4 linked regions of the Canis lupus familiaris genome follow. The main gene of each other region encodes a partner of the protein of the gene in region 3 in a complex. Links are inferred from orthologs where the notes say so. Each region holds a gene or a part of one and is shown on either strand. Other genes may lie near its edges.

Evidence for each region.
Region 1: the proteins of TGFB3 (region 3) and TGFBR2 are in contact, whole or in part, in a crystal structure (PDB 9B9F), measured with the Homo sapiens proteins. The link is inferred for Canis lupus familiaris from reciprocal best matches to the Homo sapiens genes TGFB3 and TGFBR2. Residues at the interface, in NP_001316868.1 of Homo sapiens: Arg325, Lys331, Trp332, His334, Tyr390, Tyr391, Val392, Gly393, Arg394; in NP_003233.4 of Homo sapiens: Leu50, Phe53, Asp55, Ser72, Ile73, Thr74, Ser75, Ile76, Glu78, Val100, Asp141, Glu142.
Region 2: the proteins of TGFB3 (region 3) and ITGB6 are in contact, whole or in part, in a crystal structure (PDB 4UM9), measured with the Homo sapiens proteins. The link is inferred for Canis lupus familiaris from reciprocal best matches to the Homo sapiens genes TGFB3 and ITGB6. Residues at the interface, in NP_001316868.1 of Homo sapiens: His259, Gly262, Asp263, Leu264, Arg266, Leu267, Lys268; in NP_000879.2 of Homo sapiens: Ser142, Ala143, Ser144, Asp147, Pro196, Cys197, Ser199, Ile200, Tyr202, Cys204, Ala234, Asn235, Ile236, Asp237, Thr238, Glu240, Asp271, Lys355.
Region 4: the proteins of TGFB3 (region 3) and ITGB8 are in contact, whole or in part, in a cryo-EM structure (PDB 8VS6), measured with the Homo sapiens proteins. The link is inferred for Canis lupus familiaris from reciprocal best matches to the Homo sapiens genes TGFB3 and ITGB8. Residues at the interface, in NP_001316868.1 of Homo sapiens: Gly262, Asp263, Leu264, Arg266, Leu267, Lys268; in NP_002205.1 of Homo sapiens: Ser156, Ala157, Ser158, Asn161, Arg206, Gln210, Cys211, Tyr214, Leu216, Ser247, Gly248, Asn249, Ile250, Asp251, Thr252, Glu254.

What each region holds. Positions count from the first base shown.
Region 1 is NC_049244.1:14,231,353-14,235,601, forward strand, and holds the start of TGFBR2 (TGF-beta receptor type-2), read right to left. Parts: upstream 2,801-4,249; 5' UTR 2,702-2,800; coding exon 2,608-2,701; intron 1-2,607. UniProt on the Homo sapiens protein: Transmembrane serine/threonine kinase forming with the TGF-beta type I serine/threonine kinase receptor, TGFBR1, the non-promiscuous receptor for the TGF-beta cytokines TGFB1, TGFB2 and TGFB3.
Region 2 is NC_049257.1:6,253,434-6,257,464, forward strand, and holds the start of ITGB6 (integrin beta-6), read right to left. Parts: upstream 2,801-4,031; 5' UTR 2,470-2,800; intron 1,592-2,469; exon of another isoform or gene 753-1,591; intron 1-752. UniProt on the Homo sapiens protein: Integrin alpha-V:beta-6 (ITGAV:ITGB6) is a receptor for fibronectin and cytotactin. It recognizes the sequence R-G-D in its ligands. Internalization of integrin alpha-V/beta-6 via clathrin-mediated endocytosis promotes carcinoma cell invasion.
Region 3 is NC_049229.1:49,244,073-49,247,807, forward strand, and holds part of TGFB3 (transforming growth factor beta-3 proprotein), read right to left. Parts: intron 1,100-3,735; coding exon 992-1,099; intron 1-991. UniProt on the Homo sapiens protein: Transforming growth factor beta-3 proprotein: Precursor of the Latency-associated peptide (LAP) and Transforming growth factor beta-3 (TGF-beta-3) chains, which constitute the regulatory and active subunit of TGF-beta-3, respectively.
Region 4 is NC_049235.1:34,421,243-34,425,482, forward strand, and holds the start of ITGB8 (integrin beta-8), read left to right. Parts: upstream 1-1,440; 5' UTR 1,441-1,523; coding exon 1,524-1,650; intron 1,651-1,710; exon of another isoform or gene 1,711-1,726; intron 1,727-4,240. UniProt on the Homo sapiens protein: Integrin alpha-V:beta-8 (ITGAV:ITGB8) is a receptor for fibronectin. It recognizes the sequence R-G-D in its ligands.

The sequences.
Region 1 (4,249 bases), on a different chromosome or scaffold from region 3:
TAAGGAGATGCTCTATAAATACTGCTGAAAAGAAAAAATGAGTAATGGTCGTTTATTACAATGGCACCAATGAGACATAATTCTTAATTGGAAAAATGGGGTTAAAAAATAAAGAAAAATTTTAAAAGTTGTGTTGATAACAAAGGGTTGGTAAACTAAAATGGAAACCATGTTGCAGTTATGCTAGCTCCCCAGACAAGAATGAGGATTCATCACAGTGGGGTGCTACCTTGAAAAAAAGGGGCAATAAATCCAAAGTATGACAGATACTTGTATAGATCAAAACTGGTGAAAATTAAAGGAAGTGGCAGAAAAATGGTTCTTCTAAAATGCAATAGACCAAAGATCAAATTCTGGACCTAGATCTCTAGTCTCTGACCCTAACGAAGAGAAGTACATCATTAACATAATTTTAGGAAAGAAGTTTATCTGTATGACACTTTACCAATACTGAGTCCTCAACAGAAATTTCTTGTTAGGTATTTGAAAAGTAACAGTCATATTTTTCAGATCTGAAGAGTTTTCTGACATTTAAGATTTTCCCCTAAAGAGTAATTACTTAATTTGGGGCATTTAGGAAGGGTGGATCTACAAAATTAAAAAAAAATAAATAAGAATTAAGCATATTTCTCAGTGAAGTTTGTTCTTATCAAATCCATTAAACAGAAGATGGACCTTTTTGGGTGGCCTAATAGGACTCCGTTAGCCATCTAATTATCTCATATCTTATCACACAGTAAGATATTTTGAAAAATGTCTTGACGGTTTACCAATTATTTTAGAAAAATCCTGAAACCGCCTACTTACACAGAAAATTAGAATGCAACTGGAAGTAAGTTTCTCGTTTTCATTATAGCTACCTTCTACCTTCAACTATCTTTGAAAATTTAATTTCAAATGAGTAAAATTCCAAAATGCTTCCTTAGTTCAAAGTTGGCACCTTTAATTCCATCAAAATATGAAATCTGTGGGTTTTTAAAAACCGATCAAAGTCCAAATAAAAAGCCACTGGGCTTTTAAGTTGATTGTTTAAAAAGTATACAGATGAAATGAAACTGACTCATGAACTACTGAGTCTGGGATTTGAAAATTCATAAATCTAATCCTTGTAAACAAAATCTAACAAAATCAGGATCTGTTGATTTCCTTCTTCCGTAACCTGAAACAAAAGTTTTAATGATTTGTAACATGCTCAGAAAATTAAGGGTGCCACTTAAAATCTTTATTAGCAACATATAAGTCAGTTTTTAAGTGCCTGGAGCATGATCAGAGACACTTGGACATACATTCTGGTACTGCAATGTAGAACATCGGAGAATGAGACAGTAGGACTTTATGAAATTCAAATTTGTGTTAGGATTTTTTGGTTCACAACAGTCCCTTTTTCTCACTCCATTCAGAACTCCCATCTCCGTGCCACTTTCCATAAGAAACTTAATTTTAAAAAGATCTCAATCCACTTCGAATACTCTGAAAGGTTACCATTTAGAACTTGGTGCTAATTTCTTCTAGACAACCCAAAAGGTAAGGCTGCCTGGGGCCCTAGTGGATGAAGGAGTGCCTGGGGGTGATGTGGGCTGTCAGAGCCTCTATACTTCATCCCAAGTTTACACAGGGCATTTCCAAGTCACCAAAGGGGGAAGAGAGCGGCAAGAAGAGCCACAGATGAAGGGGATGTCAACTTATCCAGATGGAACCATTTTACAGATGAGGAAGCTGAGGGCCTGAGGCCTTGCAGATCCTCACTTATGTGGATCACTGCTTCAAAAATAAGTAGCCTCTAAGGTCGGGGAAGGGCGGGGGGGTGGAGTTCGGTCCTTTCCCTAACACATAAGAACTCCATTCCTGCATTTTTCACATTGGAAACCCTCCAGACCAGGGAGCACAGTTAGGATTTAGGCTTCCCATTTCCCTCAAAGGTCACTTGCGGGGAACCATCACCTCCGGGACGGCAGGGCGGTCTCGCCGCGGGCGGCCTGTGCAGCACCCGGCACCCAGCACCCGGCACCCGGCACCCGGCACCCAGCGCCCAGCACCCAGCAGGCACCGTGTGCACAATTCCCCGCCCGCCACCTGACAGCCCCGCTCCCCGCCGCTCCCTGCCCGGCCCACGGTGCGGCCGGAGAACTTTCCTTGGGAAATCGCTTCGTTCCCTGGAACTTGCAGACAGCGACTCCGGGCCCAGAGGCCGGCCTGGGGGACCCGGGGCTGGGGGGCCGCGGGCGGGGGCGGGGGCGGGGGCGGGGGGCGCGGGTGGGCGCGCGCCGCATCCCCCCGGCCGCGGCGACCCCAGGTGCGCCGGCCGCCCCGCGGCCTCGGCGGGCTCGGCTCGGGGCCGCGGCTCCCCTGCCTCCCTCGGATGCCCGAGCAACTCCTCAAACTTCCCTTTCCGGGGGTGGGGGCCCGCCTCGGACGCGGCCGGCGCGGCGCCTCTCCCGGCCGCACAAAGGGGGCCCGGCGCGCCCCGCGCCCCTTCCCCGTGAACTTCCCCGCGCGGGGGTGCCGGGCTGCGCGGCTCGGCCGCGGGCGCCCTCCGCTTCCGCCCGGCCGCTGTCAAGCCCCGCGGGGACCCCCGGCGCCCCGCCAGAGCCCGCCCGGGGCACTCACCCGACTTCAGGACCTGCGGCGGGATCGTGCTGGCGATGCGCGTCCACAGGACGATGTGCAGCGGCCACAGGCCCCGGAGCAGCCCCCGACCCATGGCAGCCCCCGCCGCTCGTCATAGACCGAGCCCGAGCCCGAGCCCGAGCGCAGCGCACGGCGCCTCCCGGAGCCCCGGCTGCGCCTCCGCGCCGCGCCCTCGCGGGACCCCGCGCGGGCCGGGCGGGCAGATGCGCGGCCCAGATGTGGCGCCGCTCGGCAGCCGCGCGGGGGCGGGGGCGGGGGCGGGGGCGGGGGGCCTGAGGCCGGGGCGGCGCGGGGCGGCGCGGGAGGCCCCCGGCGGCCGAGGGGAGCTGCGCAGGAGGCCGGCGCCCGGCCCGGCGAGCGCGCGCGCGGGGGTGTCCTCGCTCGGTGCGCGCGAGTGACTCACTCCGCTTCGCCCGGGCGCCGCGGGGGAAACAGGAAACTCCTCGCCAACAGCTGGGCAGGACCTCTCGCCGCCCGAAAGCCTGCTCCCGCGGCTCGGCCTCCAGCCCTCCTCTCCCCCGCCTGCCAATCACGTCCCCGAGACCGGCCCCTCCGAGGGATTTGGCGAACTGGCGGCCGCCCCCGGCGCCCTCGGGAGCTCCCGGCGCCCCCGGGGCACGCGCTCCGCTCGGGGCAGCCGCGGGGCGCGCAGAGGGGCGCACTCTTCCGGGCACCCCCTCGGAGCATCCTCCGCCTTGCCCCAGGTGCCCCGGGGCCGTGTCTGCGGACCCCCGAGTGCCCGACGCCCGGGTGCGTCCCGAGACGGGAGTCGCGAGCACAGTGTTTTGTGTGTGTTTGCTTCGGGGCCCGCAGCCTGTACGGCCGCACTAAACTTTGCTTTCGGTTGCGCGTATGCACACACCGCCGCTTTGCGAGATGTTCTTCTCAGCTGCAGGTCGAAGTCCGGAAGTTTTGTTTTGTTTTGTGTTGTTGCAACCCCGCCCTTGACTGTGCATCTCCACCACCTGAGTATCTTGCTTAAAACGCGGATTTTGACCCGGGATGTCCGCCCGAGGTGCGCAGCGTTTCTGACGGCCCCTTGAGAGCTGCCTCCGACTTTGAGTTGCCTCCCCCTGGGGGTGCTTCGGGGAGTTAAGTGTAAATAAGCAGTCCCCACGGAGTGATGGGGGCGGGGGGGCGCATTTTAGGTTTAGAATGTCCCGAGTATGGCAGAAAATGCACATAGAAAAGTGGCCTGGGAGTCAGCTCAGTGCCAGGGTTTGCATTCCAACACTGCCCCTGAAGACAGACAGTCCTTAGAGTCACCTCCGCCTAAGGAGAAACAAGGATCAACTTTCGACTCTCCCTTCTTGCGAGGGTGACCAGCTTTGCCCTAGAAAGATCCTGGGGGACACCTTTGAAGTTTAATTATTACAGACCCACTCTCTTCTTTCCCGTGGGTCTTGGTTGGGTAAGGAATTGTATGCTCATTTTTACTCCCAACTCTCAAAGACTTGGGTTCTGTATAGCTTGCCCACCAGGAGACCTTCCAGCAGGTTACACAACGAACTTCCTTTATCTAAGACAAAGAGTATTTGCAGAGGCAGGTGGCCAGGCTCACTGGGAAGAAAAGCAAATAGCACTCCCCAGAAACCCAACTCCAGAAAACGTCCCTGTCAGT
Region 2 (4,031 bases), on a different chromosome or scaffold from region 3:
GCACAGTGTTCAACGGAAGAGTTACTCATTCTGATTTGTAATTTTGAAATATAAGCAATGGTGGAATGTTGGTGAATTGGAGGTGGGAGATTGGTTGGAAAGTTATTACAGCAACCAGGCAAAGTGGATGAAATGTAATGACAGGGGACACGAAAGAGGAAAGATCTCTAAGGATCTGAATGGACAAGGCCTGGCCAGGATTAGAGGCTGGTGGCTGATGGTCATAAAGAAGGAAGAAAAAGAAGCCTGAGGATTTCCTGTTCAGGTACTTGGTTGAAATAATTTGATGTAGTGGAGCTGCATGCCTCAGTGAGCTTTGTGTTGTTAAACAAACAGCAGTAAAGGTCAGTTTTAATATTATTACTTGCTATACCTATGAACCCCCTATGGGGGCCTGCAAACAGGGAGGATGTTATAAAGGGGAGAAGAGGCCAGTGTATAAAGCAGATTGTGGTTGAGAATGGTCAAGTGTAAAAGTGACTGCCGACAGCGTGAAGGACGATCAAGGGCCTTCTTGTGGGGATTCCAGCTGAAACTAGCTCTCTGGGCTGGACTGGCTGGACTGGCAAGCCCATGCCCTCCCATGAGGTATGGGTGTCATCTCTGCACGCAGGCTGGGTAGATCCCCAGATGACCTTGGCCTATAGTTAGCTCTCACATCAGCTGTGGCTGGTTTCCAAAGTAGCAGCAACGGCAGCTGACAGCTTTGGAAGTGTATTTTCTTCTCAGTAAAGAAAAAGTGCCCACAAGCAATACATTTCCCAAGAAGCTACTCTTCCTGGTCTGACTAAGGGCTTCTGTGGAGAAAATATGCAATGTTTCCATAAGGCTGTTTAAAAAAAAAAGAAGAAGAAGAAGGAATCACTTTTCTCTTGAGGCAAAACACCTTGAACCTCTTGGGGGGACTTAGAAGAATCAAACCATTACATTCTATCTTGGAAAATATGTCAAAGAAATGCCTGCGTGCTTGCCTTAGTTCATTAGAGACTCTTTCCCCCTTCTTCAGATCATAATAAAAATGAATGAGAATATAGGGGTTCAAAGGCAGAGAAGGACTCTAACCCTAACAGATCAGAAGTCTATGCCTACTTTGGAGATCTGACGTTGGAATACAAGAACCTAAGCTTGAGACTCTCCAATCAAAAATTCTCGCAATCACTTAGAGTTCATGTCAAAACATCTGGTGGCAAGTGTGCTTCAGTGTATGATAACCGGGGAAAATACTGAGAAATTGCAGCAACATTTTTGTGTGTGTAAATGGAGCTTTAGTTCCTGTACTTCAGCCAGAAAACACTAGAGGGAGTCAAATAGAGGAAAAGACCATCTCCGAATGCCCAGGACCGAAGAAGAGCCTGCAGAGGAAGGCCTTTCTGCATTTCCCCAAGGCACCCGGTTTTACCTAGGTAGACACTAATCTTTATACTGTGACCAAGTGACTCTCTCTACTTGAAACCCAGTGCTAAAAAACTGTAACTATGAGCTGCTGATTCTGTTCTGAATCCAAAACAGTAAAAAGAAAACCATTACTCTCTGACCAGGATCTGGATTCTGTCCATTTGAGGCATGGGGAGAGCCAATATGCCAGAACTCGGTGAGTCTTTAATTTTAGAGGACACATTCTTTGGATGAATAACCTTTCACAGATATTGGATTTTTTTTTTTTTTTTAAAGCGCTGGTAGTCATACTTTCAGTGCTCATAGTGAATAGTAATGATTACCCGGCATTTTCAGACACTTGCAGGAATAAAATGAGCTCTTCGTAAATACCCTAGACTGGAAGCCCCCCCCCCCCCACTGTCTCCACAGTTCTCATGAATTAGGTCTACATTAACACAGCATTTTACTTTTTTTTTTTATTTCTTAATTTTTAATTTTTATTTTTTAACACAGCATTTTACAATCTAGGAACACCCAAGTTAACTGGCCCAGTGTCATGCCCGTGTCAATGAGAACGGATACTTCGTCTTGTTTAAATTCCCAGTTCCTTAGTTCCTTTGTGACGCCTTGAAAATGCCACAAGACACAGGGAAGGCCAGGGCCTAAAGTTGCCTTTTTTTTTTTTTTTTTTTAAAGATGAACAATTAATCACTATAACCAGAAACAAGGATCTTAAAAAGCTGCTTAAGAAACTGTTCAACTGAATGTTAAAAATACCTTCCTGGACGATGAACTAATAACCCCATGAAATCGTGCCCTTACACCATAGCAGATTTTTGAAGTACGGCTGGTAAAAGCACGTGTGCATTCAAATGTAAGAAAAATCACAGTAAAGCATGCTCGATTAATGAGGAAGCCCCCTTTCAGAAACCGTGGGGTCAGCCTCGCCTGGACGGGAGTATCCAGAGAACAGAAGGAACGTCATGAACTTCCTAAGGCGGCGTCTGTTGGAAACGATCGGTTACACGGACGAGGAAAACTTAGTTTCGAAGTTTGGGTTTGCGTTTGTTAGTCATGCATTATAGGACTTACCTCCCAGGGCAGACCTTTACTTTCAGAAAGTGCTGAGATGCATTACTGCACCCGTTACCAAGTCTTTGGCAGAAATACCATTTATCCTTGTTGTGGTAATGAACAGATTTGTAACATTCTGGTGTCACCATTCCTGAAAAAGCACGTTCATTTGAATGTTTCTTCCACCAACCCAGGGAAATATTTCATGAAGGCACATTGGTGCGGCCTACTAGGGAGAGCTATTGCTGCTGAATGACAGAGTGTCTGGTGGATTTACATGAAACCCCAAGTGCTCGTATGAGAATAGGTTAGGTTTAGATTGACGAGCAAATGTGTAACCAGACTTCTGGCTGACAAATGGCAGAACTATGCCAGCGCATTAGCTGCCCTGGAGAGAGACCAAAAGTAAGGCGGGGGGATCAAGTTCATTCCATAAAGGACATTCGAACCTAATGGATGGCAGGGTGGCTGGGACGTGGAGCACACATAGATTGTGATACCCCAAAATAGTACCGGGCAAGTTTAGAGTCGAGCTGGCATCCGAACCAATGACCCAACTCCCATCAAATTTTCGTATATCGTGTTGGGTTGTTTATATTTACATTCCTTCAAAAGGATCCTGGTGTTTTCAGGAGAAGTCTAGTTTATTGGTGGGTCTGGCTTAAAGTCACTAGCCTCTGAAAGTGGCTTGTTTGGTTAAACTGGAAAATGAAAATAAAAACTGAGGAGATTAGTATGAAAGATGGTGCCAAACACTAAATGGTCCAAATTGGATTTGATTTGTTCCAGTTGGGCACAGCTGAGAAGAGACGTCCGTACAGCTTTTGGGAAGAAGGATGAAGTGTTTGGACCACACTCTTCTGAGGTCGAGGCCAAGAGTGCAGGGCTTTGGGTCCGCCTTCAAGGAGGTCATATGACAGATGACTGGTGCTGTTCACTGGGCCTCCGTGGTGTTCCAGTGCCATCTCAGCCCTGGAGATGCTTTATCTTTTCATTCTCACCACCGCAGTGTGGCCTGGGTTGGTGGCCTTGCTTTAGAGATTCGTTGACTTGCCCAAGGTCACATGCTGGTAAGTGACAGTCAGATTTAAACCTCAGTCTGACTCCAAAGCAGTTTCCCTCATGCCCCAGCGCCTCTTGAGCGTCTGAAGAACAGTGCTGGAGGCAGTGTGGCAGCTCACAAGCCATGTGGTACTTGAGTGCTCTGGAAGCAAGGGCAACAGAGAGCCAGGGCACCTGGGTCTGAGTCCTCGCTCTATTGTTGACTGGATACTTGATCTCAGAAAAATTCCTAAGGTCTCTGAGCTGACTCCTTGTCTATAAAGAACATGTCCTGTGTATGGTGGCTTCTTAGAAGATTTTTAAACCACCTTTCATTTCTAACCTCTATGATACCCTGGAACCTTCAAGGATCCTTACATTCTTTTGTTCACTAAGTAAACTCCTACGTGAGGAAACACTTCGATTTGGAATTCAAGAACTGACTTAATTTCTGCCATAGAGATATTATTCCTTCTCTGCAAAATTCATTTCCTCTGTGGGTTGCCCCAGCACTATCTTCTGTTTCCTGAGGGGACCGA
Region 3 (3,735 bases):
AGATGCTTGACTGCTGAGCCACCCAGGTGCCCCCCTTTTCTGAGAATCTTTATGAACAAGATAACTGTTTACTAGGTGGAAGGATCTAGTCCTGACCTGTCCCATAGCTAAGGACCCCAGAGGTCTTCTGAGCTCTGAGGTTCTGTGATTAGGATGCTGGATGCTTGGCTTTAAAAAGAAGGGGAGGGGGTGGCCTGAAATCAAGCCCGTGAAGGGGAAGAGGACTGCCCGGGCCTGGGAGCCAAGAGAGGCTGCATCTTTTCCCAGACAAGCCTCTGCCCTCAGGCTCTGGCTTGGTTGGTTCCATCTTGAGGAACCACCTGGCTCTGGGTGTGCCTCAGTTAATCCAAAACGGGACCGTGAGAGGAAAGAGAACTTCCCTGAAATCCAGAGACTGCCCAAAGATTGAGCGCCTCAGAAACCGTCTGGAAAACCAGAAAGGACTCTCAACTGTTTCTCCATCGTAACACAAATACCCTGAGCCCCAAAGCAGTCATTCAAATCCGGATGACTCCTGGGTGGGAATCAGGTGGCCTCTGAGATATCTGAAAAGGTCAGTAGTCAGGACACCTGTAACCCTGGTCACCGCAGTTCACTTCTTCTAGGGAAGGGGAAGACAGCTACTATATGTGGAGCGTTGTGGCACCATGTTTTACGTTTGTTACCTCATTCAATTTGTGTGATAACCCTGTGAAAGAGGTATTCTCGTCTCCCTTTTACTGACTGAATTCGGAGAGGTGGACCCATTGGCCTGCATGACCGCACCACCCTTCCCAACGTTACACTGTCTCCCAGATGCTAACAAATTCTATCTATAAACTGAAAGTCACACGCCTTGCCTTTGGAGCGAAGCAGAATTACTCTACTATGAGATAGGTGGCCGTCTCTGTGAGGGAGTTTGGTTGCTTTCCTTGGGGCCTTGGTAGGGGTCTCCTGTTCTATGCCGCCCCATCAGGTCCCCTCCACCTACTATACACATCCATTTTGTTACCTTTGAATTTGATTTCCATCACCTCATGGATGTTTTCTAGGATGTCTCCATTGGGCTGAAAGGTGTGACATGGACAATGAATGCTGATTTCCAGACCTAAGTTGGACTCTGCAAAATAAGACACGGAATCAGTGAGAAAATTCTTTATGTGATGGGGAAGTGTGCCCATCACCGTGCACAGTGGGCCAGGGCCTCTGCTCCAGCCAGGGCAGTCACAGGAGCTGAGAAATACTGAAGGTCACAGGGGACAGGAAGTACCACCAAAGCTAGAGTGGACCTCCACATGTGTTACCACATTGCAGGTGTTTCTGTTGAACCAAAAAAAGGCATCAATTAAGGGGCATTATAAAGGAGAATTCCCCCTCTTTTTTAAAGCTTTATTTACTTGAGAGAGAGGGAGAGAATGCCTAAGTGTGTGTGTGAGAGCAGGGGGAGGGGCAGGAGGAGAGGGAGAGAGAGAATCTCAAGCAGACTCCATGCTGAGTGTGGAGCCCCACAAGGGGCTCAATCCCAGGACCCTGAGATCATGACCTGAGCCGAAACCGAGAGTCAGATACTTAACCGACAGCACCACCCAGGCGCCCCGAAGGAGAATTTTCATAGGCATCTCTTTTCAGAGGATGATATTGGGAAAAAATTGTCACCTGCCTACGTGGGGGCAAAAGAATGAGGTTATAGGAAGGGAGAAAAAACAGCCACCACACCGCAGAGGTGTTTGCTGGGCGAGGAGATATGCGAGCCAGCCTGCTGAGGAACGATGACATGGGAGGCGGGGGGCCCGGGGGAGGCCAGGGAGGGGGGCTCACTGAAGAACTGCGGAGTGGAGAGGCTGCGACTCAAAAGGCCACAAATCCCTCCAGATGGGAGGAGGATGGCAGAGTCTGAGCCCCAGGATTAGGAGTCAGGAAGCGATGCTAGAGGCGAGGCCACCTGCAGACCAACAGCAGAATCAGTCTGCAGGGAAGATGCCAGCCTTTCTACCAGGGCCATGACGGTGGGTATAAAGGGAGTGGTGGTTTGCAGAGGAGAGAAGATGAAAATCACAGTGACCTTTGGCCATAGTTTCCTTCAGGGGTAAGGACAGAACGAGGTCAAAGTTACTTGGAAGTATCTTCTCTGGGAATCCCTGTTCACTTCATGGGCAAGCCGGAGATGTGGATGGCTCACTGGGGGAAAACGAGCAGCTCGGGAAGACGTTGTGAAATCGGAGCACAGGCCGGAGGAACTGGCCAAGGGCCAAGGGCCCAGATGACACAAGCTCGGAGAGAACCAGCAGGAGGACATGTGGAGATGCCAGGGTTGCTGACAGAGACTCTGGTGTGAGAAGGCCAGCTGTGGCCCTTTCTCCTACTAGTGGTGCTGGGGCTACCAAAACTGGGGAAGCAAGGAACTTAGTAAAACGGGTTGAGTAAACTGGAGGGAGAGAAAAAGAAGAAGAAGAAGAGAAACATCTGAACTGAATCCAGTAGTTTTGTGCAAGGAGACCAGGAAGGGTCTGGTGTTGTGTCAACTTTGGTGGGTTAAGACGCAGCCAGGGAGGCTCTGTCAGCCCAGAGGCAGCAGCAGCAAGCTGTGGTGTAGGGAGGTCATGGGGAAGGGACCCCTGCGGGTTCGGGATCAGCATCTCAGCAAGCTGACTGATTCACTGTGCTCCCTCACTCTGTGAGCAGCCAGGCTTGGGGCCACCCCGAGATCTTCTTGAAATCTGGTCATCAGGGAAAACACCAGAGTCCAAGGCAGCTCACACCCGGCCCATGTACAGAATGGCTCAAGCCCATAGGTTCTTCCATAAACTCCAGAACCCAGTCTGATCTGTCCTGCTCCAAGCCAGGGCTGCCTCTCGGACCCACTGACACTTGCTGAGCTTGAAGACTCCTGTTCCAGAAGGTTAGCTCTTGTGGAGAGGGATGGGGCTAATATATAACAAGGAAGCCGATGCCCAGCCAGGGAACAAGGCGTGAATAGAGGCGGATGCCATAGGAGCGTCATCTTCCTGGTTTAAGGCCGTTGAAGGAAGGAGCCGGGGTGGCTGAAATGGGCTACAGGGTGTACTTCCTATTACCCAGAAGGACTCACAGTAGGCCACAAGAGACCTGGAGTGGGCAAGTTCTGTGATTCTGTGAGTTAGAAAGTCAAGGTGCAGAGGCTCCTGGTGGCTCATTCAGTTGAGCATCTGACTCTGGTTTTGGTTCAGGTCCTGATCTCAGGGGCCACGAGATCGAGCCCCACATCGGGCTCCTCACTCGAGTCTGCTTGGATATCCTCTCCCTCTGCCCCTTTCCCTGTGCATGTACCCTCTTTCACCTGCTCTCTCTCTCTCTCTCTCCCCCTCTCTCTCCTTTTTTTTTTTTTTAAGATTTTATTTATTCATGACAGAGAGAGAGAGAGAGAGAGGCAGAGACACAGGCAGAGGGAGAAGCAGGCTCCATGCAGGGAGCCTGACGTGGGACTCGATCCCGGGTCTCCAGGGTCACACCCTGGGCTGAAGGCGGCACTAAACTGCTGGGCCACCGGGGCTGCCCTCTCTCTCCAAAATAAATAAATAAATCTTTAAAAAAGAAATAAAGTCAAGGGTGCAGATAGATGTGTGAGGGACAGTCAGGGTTAGGGGACAGGTGATAGTGGGAGATGGTGACCTGGCTCTGTCTAGGTAGACGACTCAGAGTGATGACAACAATCACCAGCTTTTGTGGAGCATTACACGTCAAGCACCACTGTAAGACTTCACATGCAGTAACTCATTC
Region 4 (4,240 bases), on a different chromosome or scaffold from region 3:
GCACCCGCGGACCAGAGGGTGTTGGGGGCGGGGAGAGGCCCCCTGCTCCACTCTATGCTGCAGCTGCCGGGCAGTGAGTATCTCGGAACAAAGGAGCGCAGAGTGCCCGGGGGAGAGGCTGGGGGTTTGTGCGCAGCTGCCGTTAGGACTGAGCGAATCTCCAAACGGTCCAAGGGAGCGTGGGGGTGTAGGGATTCGGCGAGCAGGGGGAGAGGGAACAGGGGGAGCGATTCTTGTTGCGCGGCCACGCATCAGGAGCTCTTGTGAACGGTGGGCATGACAACTATCAGAGCCAAGGGGGAGAAAAAAGGAGCCGGAGTGAGCAAAACAAAGAGCGAGTGTGGGCCGCGGTGACTTCATGCCTCACCAATGTCCCGCCCACGCTGCTCGGAGCTCTTGCCGCCGCCGCCGGAGCCGCCGCTGCGCCTGCAGGCGGCCGGGGCGAGGCGCTGGGTAGCGTGGGGCTGTTTCCTAGCAACTCGCGGCCCCGAGCGCGCCCAGCTCGCGGCACTTCGGGAGCCCTCCCCCCGCCCCGCCGCCCCGCCGCCCCGCCGCCCCGCCGCCCCGGCCCGGAGCAGGACCGCCGCTCCCCCGCCCCTCGCCGGCCTCGCTCCTCGCGCCTCCTCGGGGGTGCACCCCAGAGCGCGCCAGCTGCCCGGGTGCTGGCCGGCGGGACGCCTGAGCGGGGCACGCTGGGGCCAAAAGGACGAGGGCACGAAGCTCCCGCCCCGCGAGGCCGGGCTACGGCACCCTCGCCGAGCCTCCCCTCCCGCGCTAGCGGCCGTGCGCCCCGGTCCCGGCCGAGCGGGGAGCTGCTATGCCTCCCTCCGCGCCCGCGGGCGCCGGCCGCGGCTTCTGAGGTGCTGCCGGAGCCGCTTCTCCCAGCCGCTGGCAGCCCGCGCTTCCTCCCTCGCCAGCCAGGACGTTGCCGCTTTGACTTTGCCCGCCGCTCAGCTGACGCGGCTGCAGGGCTGTAACCAAGTGGAATCGGCCTCCCTGCCCACCTGTGGAAGAAGCTCGCGCTGATTGATGCGCCATCGACTTTTTCCCCCCTCGGCCTCGCCGGCGTCCCCTCCCACCGAGGCAGCATCACCCAGTGATAGCACTTTAGGCTGGTTTTTCCCCCGGGCTTCGGGCTTTGTTTGGGTTTGATTCCGTTTGGCTGTTCCCTAAGCTGATTTATGCAGCAGAAGCCCCGTCGGCTGGAGAGAAACAAAAGCTCTTTTCTTTGTCCCGGAGCGGGCTGCGGAGCCTGCGCTCGCGTCGCCGCCCCGGGCCATTGACCGTCAGAGGAGGTGCTTCTCGCGGAGGTCGCGGGCCCCGGCGCGCCGTGCTGGCAGGGCCTCGGGGGCCCTGAGATGCCCAGCGGCGTCCGGGCCGGCGTACCTGCACCGCTGGTTCCGAGCCGCGGGGTCCGCCCGCAGGGCCTGCGGGCAACCGCCTAGCGGCACTCGGCCCGCGGGCCCCGAGGTGCGCCCCGGAGAGCGGCCAGGCGGCGGGCGCGGTGCGGGCTGCTTTGCAGTATGTGCCGCTCCGCTCTGGCTTTTTTTGCCGCCGCATTTGTCCGCCTGCAAAACTGCCGGCCGGGTCCAGCCCCGTTCCTTCGGGCGGCCTGGGTGCTTTTAGTTGTTCTTGGACTGGGCCAAAGTGGTAAGTTGTTTGGTTTTCTTTTGTTTTCTTCTCCTCCCCAAAGGTCCTGGGCTGTGACGAGGAACATCCCGGCCAGGTAAGTGACCCAGTGTCAGCCTCCATCCGTCCTGAGAACTTTAGAAGGGCGGGTGTGTGGCAGCGTCCTCCTTTCAGGCGGCCTGAGGGGGGCCAGGTGTCAAGTATTTCCGCCCCGAGTGACAGCAATAACTAACTGTACGAGGACACTCTGTGTGTTGCTCCCGGGATTGGGGGAAGCAGTAAAAGAATGGAAGTTTGGAAGAGGGAGAGCTCCTATTTACGTAAACCAGCTTAGGGGTTCTGCTCCATCCTTCAGGGCATCCTCCTTGAAGGCATCTTTGAGGATGCCCCTCATCGTTTTGCATGTACCACTAGCATTTGATTCAAGGCTGAGAATACACTGGTATAATGGGAGTGACATTTCTGGTTTTGAGTCCAGGAAAGAAGAGGATGGCTGCATAAAAGTTTCTTCTATCATAGTGCTCTCAGCCTGAAGGAATTGAACACAATCGAAAAATATTCTCTAAGTCACCACTTTTTCAGTTTAAAAAATAAAAATAGGGTCCTAGCTAACTGATGCTTCAGTCAGATCAGCCCCTGAGACTGAGACCCTGAGACAGAAACCTAGACCAGGATTGACAGCTTTCAATCCAGGCAAGCCACTTCTATAGAATTGCCTTGATTTGGAAAGGATACTTCTTTATAATGTTTATTGTCCTGATTTTACAAATGAGGACAGGATCTCCCTCCCTAAGTCACAAGAAAAGCTCAAGTCAAATAGTGTATGAAAAGGTGTGTTGGCCCCTTTGAATTACACGCAGATTTAAGGTGGCTATCCTGGCTTGTTAGCAAACAGTAAAACATACAGTAAGTAATAACAGTAATCATCAATTTGGGATGAGTTCTTCTTGGTTTTAAATATAAGCCACACATTTATTTTTGCCAAGGCAATGATTATTGCCAATTAAAAAATAAATTTGCTTTATCTGTGTTTGGTTATCAAGCCCTTAAATTCTGCTAGCACCTTTCTCCGACCTCTCCTGTTGAAGTAGAGTTGTGGTTGTTTTGTAGATTAAAATTTTCTCTTATGCTTTGAATTGATGTGCCATGTTTCTGCCTGAAGCTAATAAAAACGATCAAGTCATAATCTTATAAATAAGAGTTCAACATGGAAACATCCAGCTAGTTCACTCATTTGTTGCACTAATAGTTGTCTAATATTTGTTTCAACAGGAGATTTACCCAGTTATGTGAAATGAGAGCAATTAGAGTAAATTTCTATCTTGAGGTTATTTTTTGGCTTAAATGTTTATTACAAAATAAGTGAAATTTGAAGGCAAAGGAAATAGTAGCATTCATTATCAATTATCTCTTCAGTGGAACTATGCATTGATTGCAGCAGATTTTCCACTGAGTGTAATTCCATCTTGGGTTATTATTTGACAAAGTAGAACACACACACAATACTAAAATGACCAAGACTGTGTCAACAGAGTATATTTCATCCCCAGTGCATAGAGAAAAAAGTGCTACTTGCCTCTAGAATTTACTACTAATAACAATACTTTAAAAATATTCTTTGTGCATGTAAAGATTAGTCAAGTTCTCATGTAATAGCATTGTATTTCCATCTAGTGACTATAATTGGTTTGGAGCAAACACTATGAATGGGTTCCCTTGCACCTGCAGTTGTGAAAAGAGAATGCTTATCTGAAATCAGAACAAGGCATCCTTTTCCCAGTCACTGTCAATATACAAAGGTTCCTGATGTATACTGGTTTGCATTTCAGTTAAAATCATGAAAAAAATGTAAATTATAGCCAGTACAACTCTGAAAATTAGAGATCAGCGTAAACTGTTGTACTTTCATGATATAGCTACAAGTCTCAGATTATATGTCTTCACAGTGCAAATTAGATGCTTAAAGCAGAATAGAAATTTAGGTATCAATTACAAAAGAAATCTTGTTCCCTCGCTTAGTAGTTTACACCAAGGAAATGTTGAGGACAATAAAGCCATATATAAGGAACCATAAACTGCACAACAACATAACTTTGGGTTTAATTTTTGAATTAGGATTTATAGGTCCCAAATATGTAGTGGACTTTTAATAATGAATATATGGTGAGCAAGGGGGATGTTGTTAATAAATCTGACCATTTTTCTGATCTAGAGAAACGTTTTTCAACTTTCCCTGGTGGAAATCACCGACAATCGGAGAAACAATAACAGTATAAAATGGTTAATGAGTAACTGGAAAACACTAAAGAATACTTAGTGGTTAATATTTGAAGAGTTAATTCAGCAAACACTGTTGTTTCTACATTTGTTCACTTGGAAAGGTTAAAAATATTTTTTACTAAATTTTTATAGAGCAATATAAGAATGACAAATTTCAGAAATTACCATTTATTTTTTTTAAAAATGTTAACTATTATTGCAATAAAATTTTACCTTCTGTGCATAATCAGCTATTTATTCTTTAAGTAACAATCAGATTAGCATTCTCTTATAACTGTAATATTATTTTACCTCAGAACATATTTCACAAGTGTTCTGAGATTTCTTTATA